Xenopus tropicalis: one gene and its partners. Each later gene encodes a partner of the first gene's protein in a complex. Links are inferred from orthologs where the notes say so. Each region holds a gene or a part of one and is shown on either strand. Other genes may lie near its edges.

Region 1 (2,885 bases):
TGAAATGTAATACATTTGATATATATTTTTTAATTAAATTTTTGTTATTGAGCTGATAAATGTGAGAGGCCAGCGCCATGGAATACTATTTGAATAGACTGTAAGAACAAAAGCACTCTGTGTGTATATCCAGTTGCCTATGCTCCTCTGGATTGGAAGTCGGCCTAGAAAACACCCGCTTTTGCGTTTTTCAGGCTGAAATGCTATCCATTCCGCTCTGTGTGCCCGCACTTGGGCAGTTGCCATAGTTTTTAATGCAGGCAGAGGACTATAGGCAAGCAAATCTGCTTCTCTTAGCCTGACTGAAAAATGCAGGGCTGAGAAAAGGGGGATATACACACCGTATGCCCTCGCCCTAAGAATAGGTAAAACTGTCTATTTCCTGGTTCCTGGCCACATCCTCTCTAACCACAGTGCTGGTTGCCTATGCTCCGAAAAGAAGCATGGTTATACATCATTAACATGTGCATTAAGGGGTTAAAACTTTGTTGTTATATTTAATTCTTTTACCTGCCACCAAAAGGGTTAAGCATTTCAATGACATTGCTGTCATATGTTGTATGCCATTGGAACACAATTTGGATATTATGTGTATGATCTTTTTTATTTATTTTTTTTTTGGGTAGACTACAACTCTCTAATGGACAGCAAACATGACAAACTCATGGAGGAAATCATTCTTTTGCAAACACATATCAAAACATCTGATTTAGAGAAACAACAATTAAGAGTAAGTAAATTAAATGTACCATTTTAAAAAATATCCAGATCTTATACAAGTATTTTACACAACATACTGAAGCTGCTCATGTGCCAGCAGCCATTAGCTGCAAACTCAGCCCCTCTTGATCGATTCTTGCATCTTATTGGCCCATGTATGAGGTCAGTCTGAAGGCCTGACTGGCTGTTATCTGGCCAAGAATTGCCCAGATATCTATTGGGCAGATTTGAAAATTGTCATCTGCATTTAGGTAAAGATCTGCTTGTTTGGCAACCTTACCAAACAAGCAGATTTAGTCTAAGCTTAATTGTGTTGTGCCCTGCATAACAAAAGTCTGTTTTTCCCCAACTAGTTGTAGTGTTTAATTAATTAGGCTGCTTAACCCTTTCCCAAAGTGTCATCAGTGCTAGAAACTTAGGAAGGCTATCACGCAGTTCATGCTGTGTTGCTTATCTTGTCCCTGCTCTACAGCATTGGTGGAAACTGTTCCCAGATAGCAATTGTAATTCATTATCCCCCAAGCCAAAGTCAAGTGCTGGTAGTTATTGATTAAATCCTGCTCAGTTCTTATTTTACCTTACTTTTTTTTTTTTTGTTAAAATAGAAACCAAATAAGATGAAAGTCTTGCCTATTTCTTTCTTCATAGCATATGGTTGGAGTAAAGAACATATTTAGCTAACTCACTGCCATTCTTATATTCCTATTTGTTTGCATTTCCTAATGCTATTTCACCTTAGGCTAAAAAATAAAAGTGAGAATTTATTATAAATATGGTAAATATAATAAACTCAAAAGTATTTTCTATTTTACAGGAGGAGATAAAAAACTTGAAAAAAGAGCTACAGAACTTTGACCCTACATTTTTTGAAGAGATAGAAGACTTAAAGTATAACTATAATGAAGAAGTTAAGAAGAATATTATTCTAGAAGAGAAGTTAAAAGCACTTTCTGAGCAGTTTGGGGTTCATATTGATTTTCCAGGAGTTAATGAATAGGATAAACCAATTTTACTTGGTTGTGTTACACAAGACAGTGCTATTTATATACAGTGTGCTATTTAAAGCAGACTACTGGGACTACCCATTACTGCATAACTTGTTTTTGCTTGTAAGTATATATCATTTTCCCCTACTAATGAGGGTACCTACAAAGTATATTGTATTCCAAAATGACATTTCTAGGTCCGTATATTTTCAGACGTTTAAGCACATTGAATAAACTATTAGTAGATAATTCTGAAAAAAATAGCAATTACTTTTTATAGAAGCATTTGGAAAAAAAGCTTTGCACTTGAAGAGGATCTAAAGTAAAAAAAAAATTGAGCGCTCAGAAAAGAAATCGGAGAATTTTTCTTTTATTTACTTTAGACCCTCTAATTTTTTTAAACTGAAATCAAACACATTGCCTTCCAAATTTCAGTTAACTAGTTATTTATGTAAATATGTGTAGATGTATAGAAAAAGGTTTATTTAAGGTCAAATGTTCTGTATTTAGTCTTTTGTGGATGTATTTTTTTTTATAGTTTTTGACTTAAATAAACAGTTATTGAGACTGAAACTGTGTGCTTGAAATCAGTCTCCTTCTATGTGTGCAAATAATGTCTTTTTATTGTTTTTCACAGCTGATTAAATCCAGAATGTATGTTAGATCACATGCTGGTACATGGGTGCTTCTAGAGGCAGGTTAATGCTGCAGCATGGATTAAACCAAGTGCTGGCTATTTGTAAAGGAGATCTTCAAATCCAAATTTTTCATAAGGTAAAAAGGCAATTCTAAATAAAATACATAAGGTTTCAGTAGCTTTAAAGTACAGCCATGAAATCTATGAACATTTAATACACCCAATAGCATTGTTTTGCCTTCAGTTAGGATTCATTATATCTTAGTTGGGATCAAGTAAAAGGTACAGTTTTATTATTACAGAAAAAGAGGAAATCATATGGGAAAGGGCCTTTGCAGAGATTTTTGGATAAAATGTTTCCAGATAATGGATCCCAGACTTGTAGTATGAGGCCAACTCTTCAGCTTACTTTCTGTATAGAAAAATAACGATACAGCAGTAAATCAAACCTTATAAGATGTGTTTTCTCTCCCCTGTATACAGTTTACACATACAAACACAAAAAAACAAAAACTTTAATGTAAAAATTTGCCATCTAAAAG
Region 2 (4,169 bases), on another chromosome or scaffold:
AACAGTGCACTCTCTCAAAAGAATGCTCTTTTACAAGGAAATGGGCAGAGACAAATGGAGAGATCTGATAAGAAATGCATACTGAGCATGCAGAATAAATCACTCAATGAGAAAGGGGTAAAATGGGGCAAACAGTTATCTTGTGAAGCAACAGACAGGATCTTTTAAAGACACTAAAATAACAGCATATGTTCCGCAAAAATTGGCTCATTACCAGCTTGTCTTGCAGTAAAGCAGCTTTAGCAATCTTTTATAACAAAAATACTAATGTATTTCTTGCATGAATTGGATCAACGACACCTTTTCAGATAGGGATATCCTAAATAAATTCTTCTGCGTTCATGTATCCAAGTATCTCCCTACTTCTTTTAAAATGTAATTAAATATTTTGGCCACTATGTCTGTCATAAAAGTGAATGCGTTTCGTCTGACGCTGCCATTCAAAGTTTCCAGCATTTTAAAAGCTGGGTTCTTTTTGGTTTAAAGGCTTTACATTTGGGGGTGTGACTACAAAGTGGGAGCAGACAAACGCATTTTCAGCATGGCCATGCTAATTCTCATTACACCCCCCTCAGCCACTAACTTGCTGAACTTTAAATGGACGCTAATATGTCTCTTGTATACGTAATGCCTCAGAACCCGACACGACACGACGCCCTATATCTGTTTAAGCAACGTTCCATTACACTATGTTGTATTATAAATCACAGATTGCAGTATTAATAGCTATCGTTTAATCCCAATACTTCGTCTCCCACAGACTATCAGTCTCGATCAGTTTACACATTTCGCCTACAACAGACGTCACTTCCGCCGGTGAACCAATCAGATCTGCTGTATGCAACGGTTGCACAGCAACAGGCGGAGTCTACCAAAGTGAGAATTAGAAGGGGCAAAAAGCTAAGACAAGGAGCCGGTTTTCAGAGGGGGTCCGGTGAGATTTATGTTGCAGTTGTGCGGTTAGGGGAAGCATTTATAGCGGGATGTAAAAGAGGGCGAAAAATATTTAGAGCTAATAAACTGGTAAAGCGCTTACATCTTACCCTACTGCGGTGTTATATACGCAAAGGTAGATATGATTCGCAGGTTGTCGGTATGGAGTCCTGATGATTTTGCACCATCATCCAAATATGTATCGTCAGTAATTTATATGCTCATAGCACACACAATGGCGCCAGTGTAGGGAGTGTAATGGGGGTATTACGTTTTCCAGCAGCTGATAGTTGACAAACAGAGGCTCTTGGCTGATTCTGTAAGTGTAAGCTGTAGGGCCCTCAGTTTAGGGATTCTATTTGTTGATTCTATAGTGCCTTCACTGTCAGTGTTCTATGTAGTTATGAAATTCACTGTACATGAATAGCCACACTCATGAATTACATTACAGCCCAACTTGTGCAGGTATAAGTAGGTTTTTTTTGCTTGATGTTGGTCATTGACCTGGTTAGTTACATATGTAATACACTATGCGGTAATGACAAATAAAATTATGCTTTCAAATTGGTTTTATTGGATGTGTAATGAACAGTTTGGTTATGACATGCCACGTCTTACAGGGCTTATTGCTGGGGGTTAGCTACATATACTAATAATATACGTAGTAATAACACTGCGCTAAAAGTAGGTAATAAATAAAATGTATATGTAATACTAATGTTCCTTCTAAGCTATGCATTTGTGGATATTTAAATTACGATGTCAGGGCACATGCATTAGAACCGCCCTTTTACATTATTGAGGCCACTAGAAAATAATGGGGGATGTCATATCCTTGAAATGTATTAATCATTATATTTTGGAGGGACCACAAAATAAAAAAACCTAAGTAAGGGATGAAAAATAAAGTTTTACTGTAATAAATTGTGGTGCGCAAAAAGAATTTTGTATGTAAAGGCATAATTTAGAATTTTTTTAGACTTGCGCATAGTTTTTATAAAAGTGCTCAAATAGGTTTAGGAAGTAGGCACAAAAGAAAGTTTTTGCACACACAGCCAAGAAAAAAAGGAAAACTTGGTCACTGAGGCTTGTATATTTATATTGGCGTCAGATGGTATAAGAAGTGTAATTTCTAGCTGTTATTGTTTGTTGGACCTACTTCTAATAAAAATTATAATTTAGTTTCTTCACAATAATGATGTAACTGAAATATATTTTACCTTTCCTCCTACAGTAATGGCAGAGGTTCACATCATAGGGCAAATTATTGGGGCTAGTGGCTTCCCCCAACACAGCCTGTTTTGCAAATGGGGAGTACACACAGGTAAGAGTCATCATTTTGCATTTTAAATGGATCTATATATCAATTGTACATAAAAAAAACACAGTTTTGTTTTTTTGTGGAGCTGTACGCTGTTGAAAATGTGGTATATGCATTCAGTTGGCCCCACTTTTATTCTAGTACAGGTATGGGATTCCTTATACGGAAACCCGTTATCCAGAAAGTTCTGAATTATGGAATGCCCGTCTCCCATAGACTCCATTTTAATCAAATAATTCAGAATTTTAAAACAGATTTCCTTTTTCGCTGTAGTAATAAAACAATACCTTGTAATTGATCCCAACTAAGATATAAATAATCCTTATTGGATGCAAAACAATCCCATAGGGTTTAATTAATGTTTTATTGATTCTTTAGTAGATTTAAGCTATGGAGATCCAAATTACCCTTGGTCCCGAGCATTCTGAATAATGGGTCCTATACCTGTAATATATTTTTAAGTTTGTGATGTGAAGAAGAAATATATGCGTCAGGTGACCCCTGTATTTATTCTAGTAATGTGAAGTGAAGGAGAAGGCTGTGTTTGTATAACTTAAAGCCCATTTTTGGCTTTACTTTACATAAACAATATAAAAGAGTCTTAAAGGAAATGTTAATGTTTTGAGAAAATCTTGATATATAAGATACTGGTGTGGCTCTATCTATTATTAACCATATGATATTTCTATTTGTAATAACATCGTTCCCTACCATAACATTTAGGTGGAGCCTGGAAGCTACTTTCTGGGGTTGTGGAAGGCCAGACACAAGTAGATCATCCACAAAATGATGACATGGCATTCTGGTCTCACCCTATTGACATGCACTTTGCTACTAAAGGATTACAAGGTAAAGTATGATAGAATAAAGAATAAAATAAAGAATCTGTTAAAATTATTGTAATCACATTGGAGCCCCTGCACAGGCTCCCAACCCTAACCCTACCCATTCAAATGAACACACTTTACCTACCAAAGGTGCAAAGTACATTATGTACTTTAAATGCTTGTATTTCCCCCACTTAGGTTGGCCAAAACTTCACCTTCAAGTCTGGCATCAGGACACATTTGGTCGTAATGAACTTTATGGTTACAGCTTCCTCCACATCCCTTCCACCCCTGGTACTCACTCATTGCTTAGCCCAACCTGGCGACCCCTGGGAACATGGCAGGAGCAAATATGTCAGATGTTTGTTGGCGGCGGCCCACAACTTAAGTCATCCAGCCTGATTTATGGAGGGTCTGATCGCTACCGTCTGCAAACAGTGGCCATGGGGCAAGTACATCTCCAATTAACGGTCATACTCAGGAACTTTGAACGATACGGGGTGGAGTGTTCTTGATTTTGCAGAGTGCTAAGAACTTGTTCCTGGTTTTCCAAATGATTATTTTTGGTGCCAAGGACATATGCACTGAAATAATCAGCAAGACATTTTATGGAATTACTTGTGAACACCTCAAACAGAATCCTGCTCAGTATTTAATGAGCCCCTTTTCTCAACCCTTCTTAATAAACCTGATACTTCATATCTCTTCTGTACCATAATCTGGTAACATTTATCCTCCTCCCCTTCTACTAACATCTCTTACACTTTCCCAAATTGTCTGTTACTTCTGATATTAGCCATTTTCCTCATTGTATCACTTTTTTACTATCCTTGCTTTGTTTTCAGCCCTGTTATAAAGCACACTCCCTTTCTCTCCTTTCATTTTCATAATACCTCATTCACATCAATCACTTACCAGAATACATTTATATATAAAGTAAATTGAATGTTTTTGTTTTTAAATACTTTTCAGGCTCTTTTGACGATTATCTTAAATCAGTTATAATGTGAATGTGATTCCAATGTCTCTGCTGTCAGCTGTGCTATATAAACCATGCACAGAAAATTGCCCTGTTTGACATAGGTTAG
Region 3 (4,336 bases), on another chromosome or scaffold:
GAGAACCTCCAGCGGCGTGGAAGAGAGCTGCTTGTGTTCAGGAAAAACTGTATAATGCGACTCATGCTACAATGTACCGAGTAATGTAATCCCACTCTGAGTATCACTCATGTATTATAGGGATACTGTACCCCCTACTGTAAATGATAAGGATATTAGCAGTCACTGAGGGGTTCTGTGCCCCCCATATAAAGGCACAAGGCTGCAGGCTGAGTTATACAGGGAACTCTGAGTATCACTCATGTATTATAAGGGATACTGTACCCCCTACTGTAAATGATAAGGATATTAGCAGTCACTGAGGGGTTCTGTGCCCCCCATATAAAGGCACAAGGCTGCAGGCTGAGTTATACAGGGAACTCTGAGTATCACTCATGTATTATAGGGATACTGTACCCCCTACTGTAAATGATAAGGATATTAGCAGTCACTGAGGGGTTCTGTGCCCCCCATATAAAGGCACAAGGCTGCAGGCTGAGTTATACAGGGAACTCTGAGTATCACTCATGTATTATAAGGGATAATGTACCCCCTACTGTAAATGATAAGGATATTAGCAGTCACTGAGGGGTTCTGTGCCCCCCATATAAAGGCACAAGGCTGCAGGCTGAGTTATACAGGGAACTCTGAGTATCACTCATGTATTATAAGGGATAATGTACCCCCTACTGTAAATGATAAGGATATTAGCAGTCACTGAGGGGTTCTGTGCCCCCCATATAAAGGCACAAGGCTGCAGGCTGAGTTATACAGGGAACTCTGAGTATCACTCATGTATTATAAGGGATAATGTACCCCCTACTGTAAATGATAAGGATATTAGCAGTCACTGAGGGGTTCTGTGCCCATATAAAGGCACAAGGCTGCAGGCTGAGTTATACAGGGAACTCTGAGTATCACTCATGTATTATAAGGGATAATGTACCCCCTACTGTAAATGATAAGGATATTAGCAGTCACTGAGGGGTTCTGTGCCCCCCATATAAAGGCACAAGGCTGCAGGCTGAGTTATACAGGGAACTCTGAGTATCACTCATGTATTATAAGGGATAATGTACCCCCTACTGTAAATGATAAGGATATTAGCAGTCACTGAGGGGTTCTGTGCCCCCCATATAAAGGCACAAGGCTGCAGGCTGAGTTATACAGGGAACTCTGAGTATCACTCATGTATTATAAGGGGTAATGTACCCCCATGAATTGTTAAAGGAATATAAGAAGCAGTGGGCGGGGCCAGGCTATACCTGTACAGGTGACTTGGTACCGTCTCACCTATGTAAGTGCCAAGGATACAACTCCGCGCCTTCTCCCTGGGAAGCAAACGCACAGTTAGGGGGCAGCACAAGTCACATGATACCAAGCAGAAGACCCAGTGGGGGCCGGGGGCCCCTCCCAGCACTCAGAGCAGCCATGTTTGGTCTCCCCCTGTAGGTGCCCATAATATACCCACATACCTGCCCGTAATATACCCACCCGCCTGCCCGTAATATATCCACCCGCCTGCCCGTAATATACCCACCCGCCTGCCCGTAATATTCCCACCCGCCTGCCCGTAATATACCCACCTGCCTGCCCGTAATATACCCACCTGCCCGTAATATACCCACCTGCCTGCCCATAATATACCCACCCGCCTGCCCGTAATATTCCCACCCGCCTGCCCGTAATATACCCACCCGCCTGCCCATAATATACCCACCCGCCTGCCCGTAATATTCCCACCCGCCTGCCCGTAATATACCCACCCGCCTGCCCATAATATACCCACATACCTGCCCGTAATATACCCACCCGCCTGCCCGTAATATACCCACCCGCCTGCCCGTAATATACCCACCCGCCTGCCCTCAATATACCCACCCGCCTGCCCGTAATATACCCACCGCTGCCCGTAATATTCCCACCCCCTGCCCGTAATATTACCCACCCGCCTGCCCGTAATATACCCACCCGCCTGCCCGTAATATACCCCAACCCGCCTGCCCGTAATATACCCACATACCTGCCCGTAATATACCCACCCGCCTGCCCGTAATATACCCACCCGCCTGCCCGTAATATACCCACCTGCCTGCCCGTAATATACCCACATACCTGCCCGTAATATACCCACCCGCCTGCCCGTAATATACCCACCCGCCTGCCCGTAATATACCCACATACCTGCCCGTAATATACCAACCCGCCTGCCCGTAATATACCCACCCGCCTGCCCGTAATATACCCACCCGCCTGCCGTAATATACCCACATACCTGCCCGTAATATACCCACCCGCCTGCCCGTAATATTCCCACCCGCCTGCCCGTAATATACCCACCCGCCTGCCCGTAATATACCCACCCGCCTGCCCGTAATATACCCACATACCTGCCCGTAATATACCCACCCGCCTGCCCGTAATATACCCACCTGCCCATAATATACCCACCTGCCCATAATATACCCACTTACCTGCCCATAATATACCCACCTGCCCATAATATACCCACCTGCCCGGGGAATGTGCGCTATTGTGGGTAACAGGGAGAAGTCGCTGCTTCTCTGGGGATGCCGGGAATTGTGGTCTAACAGCCCCCCCCCCCCCCCCCCAGTTGTAGTTGCACACTAGCGGTGCGGGTCCCTATGCAGCAGGTAAGGGGACAGCGTAGCGGCATCGGGTGCAGGGGATGCTGGGAGTTGTAGTCCCGCTGATCAGCTGCACCTCTTGCATAGGGGACACAGTAGCCCCACGCTTACAGGCGCCATTACAGGGAGCAGGGGGGCCGCTCTTCCATCCGCTGCTTCGCCTCCCGCTTACCTTTGGGCGCCATCTTGCTGCTCTAAGGACGCCTGTGACGTCACTCCCTGGAAACCTCCGCAACACGTGACCCCCTGAGCCGCCTGTGCGCCGCGGGGTCCTAGCGCCTTCCCCCCTAACATTCAGGGCCACTAAATAACTGGGACTGGCTGGGCTTCTGGGAACTGTTCAATGGAGAGTGTACCTGCAGCCAAATTAGATTGCTAGCTCCTCTGCCCAGGGAGACAGTAGGGCAAGATGGAGACAGTAGGGCAAGATGGGGACAGTAGGGCAAGATGGGGACAGTAGGGCAAGATGGGGACAGTAGGGCAAGATGGAGACAGTAGGGCAAGATGGGGACAGTAGGGCAAGATGGGGACAGTAGGGCAAGATGGGGACAGTAGGGCAAGATGGAGACAGTAGGGCAAGATGGGGACAGTAGGGCAAGATGGAGACAGTAGGGCAAGATGGAGACAGTAGGGCAAGATGGAGACAGTAGGGCAAGATGGAGACAACCCTTTATAACACTGAAGAGGTTATTCCAAACACAAGAGGCAGTATGAGCACTAATGACTGCACGGGGGGCAGTAGAGGAGCGAGGGTGGGAGAGTTGGGGGCCGATGCTGCTGTCTCTCAGTAGTGATGCGCAGTCGTTATTAATTGGGGCTGAGATGCGAGACCCTCGCTTCAAGAGCCGGATGTTCCCACCCACGGTTTCCTCGTCTCACTGCTACTCACCTAATTATGTTACTCACAGTTACTTCATTATAGAACCCATAGCCCAATAAAGGGTCAACTTCCCCTTTATATTTACTTTTAGTAACACATGGGCGGAGTTACAGGTCACTGATCCCCACCGTGATCCCCACCCTTTTCCCACCCTGTTTCCTTCTTGATCCCCACCTTGATCCCCACCCTGATCCCCACCCTTTTCCCACCCTGATCCCACCATTTTCCCACCCTGATCCCCACCCTTTTCCCACCCTGTTTCCTTCTTGATCCCCACCTTGATCCTCACCCTGATCCCACCCTTTTCCCACCCTGATCCCCACCTTGATCCCACCCTGATCCCACCCTTTTTCCACCCTGATCCCACCATTTTCCCACCCTGATCCCCACCCTTTTCCCACCCTGTTTCCTTCTTGATCCCCACCTTGATCCCCACCTTGATCCCACCCTGATCCCACCCTTTTTCCACCCTGATCCCCACCCTTTTCCCACCCTGATCCCCACCCTTTTCCCACCCTGATCCCCACCCTTTTCCCACCCTGTTTCCTTCTTGATCCCCACCTTGATCCCCACCCTGATCCCACCCTTTTCCCACCCTGATCCCCACCCTTTTCCCACCCTGTTTCCTTCTTGATCCCCACCCTGATCCCCACCCTGATCCCCACCCTTTTCCCACCCTGTTTCCTTCTTGATCCCCACCTTGATCCCCACCCTGATCCCACCCTTTTCCCACCCTGATCCCCACCCTTTTCCCACCCTGTTTCCTTCTTAATCCCCACCCTGATCCCCACCTTGATCCCACCCTTTTCCCACCTTGATCCCCACCTTG

What was found. Proteins that work in one complex are often made in the same cells at the same time.
Region 2: cep290 (region 1) and b9d2 share a complex: the UniProt entries of both Homo sapiens proteins name them as parts of the tectonic-like complex. The link is inferred for Xenopus tropicalis from reciprocal best matches to the Homo sapiens genes CEP290 and B9D2.
Region 3: cep290 (region 1) and tmem216 share a complex: the UniProt entries of both Homo sapiens proteins name them as parts of the tectonic-like complex. The link is inferred for Xenopus tropicalis from reciprocal best matches to the Homo sapiens genes CEP290 and TMEM216.

What each region holds. Positions count from the first base shown.
Region 1 is NC_030679.2:54,320,452-54,323,336, reverse strand, and holds the end of cep290 (centrosomal protein of 290 kDa), read left to right. Parts: intron 1-626; coding exon 627-730; intron 731-1,534; coding exon 1,535-1,717; 3' UTR 1,718-2,279; downstream 2,280-2,885. UniProt on the Homo sapiens protein: Involved in early and late steps in cilia formation. Its association with CCP110 is required for inhibition of primary cilia formation by CCP110.
Region 2 is NC_030684.2:79,325,568-79,329,736, reverse strand, and holds the start of b9d2 (B9 domain-containing protein 2), read left to right. Parts: upstream 1-1,281; 5' UTR 1,282-1,352; coding exon 1,353-1,398; intron 1,399-2,167; coding exon 2,168-2,257; intron 2,258-2,977; coding exon 2,978-3,103; intron 3,104-3,279; coding exon 3,280-3,596; 3' UTR 3,597-4,169. UniProt on the Homo sapiens protein: Component of the tectonic-like complex, a complex localized at the transition zone of primary cilia and acting as a barrier that prevents diffusion of transmembrane proteins between the cilia and plasma membranes.
Region 3 is NC_030678.2:178,905,766-178,910,101, reverse strand, and holds the start of tmem216 (transmembrane protein 216), read right to left. Parts: upstream 2,889-4,336; 5' UTR 2,813-2,888; coding exon 2,800-2,812; intron 1,311-2,799; coding exon 1,294-1,310; intron 28-1,293; coding exon 1-27. UniProt on the Homo sapiens protein: Part of the tectonic-like complex which is required for tissue-specific ciliogenesis and may regulate ciliary membrane composition.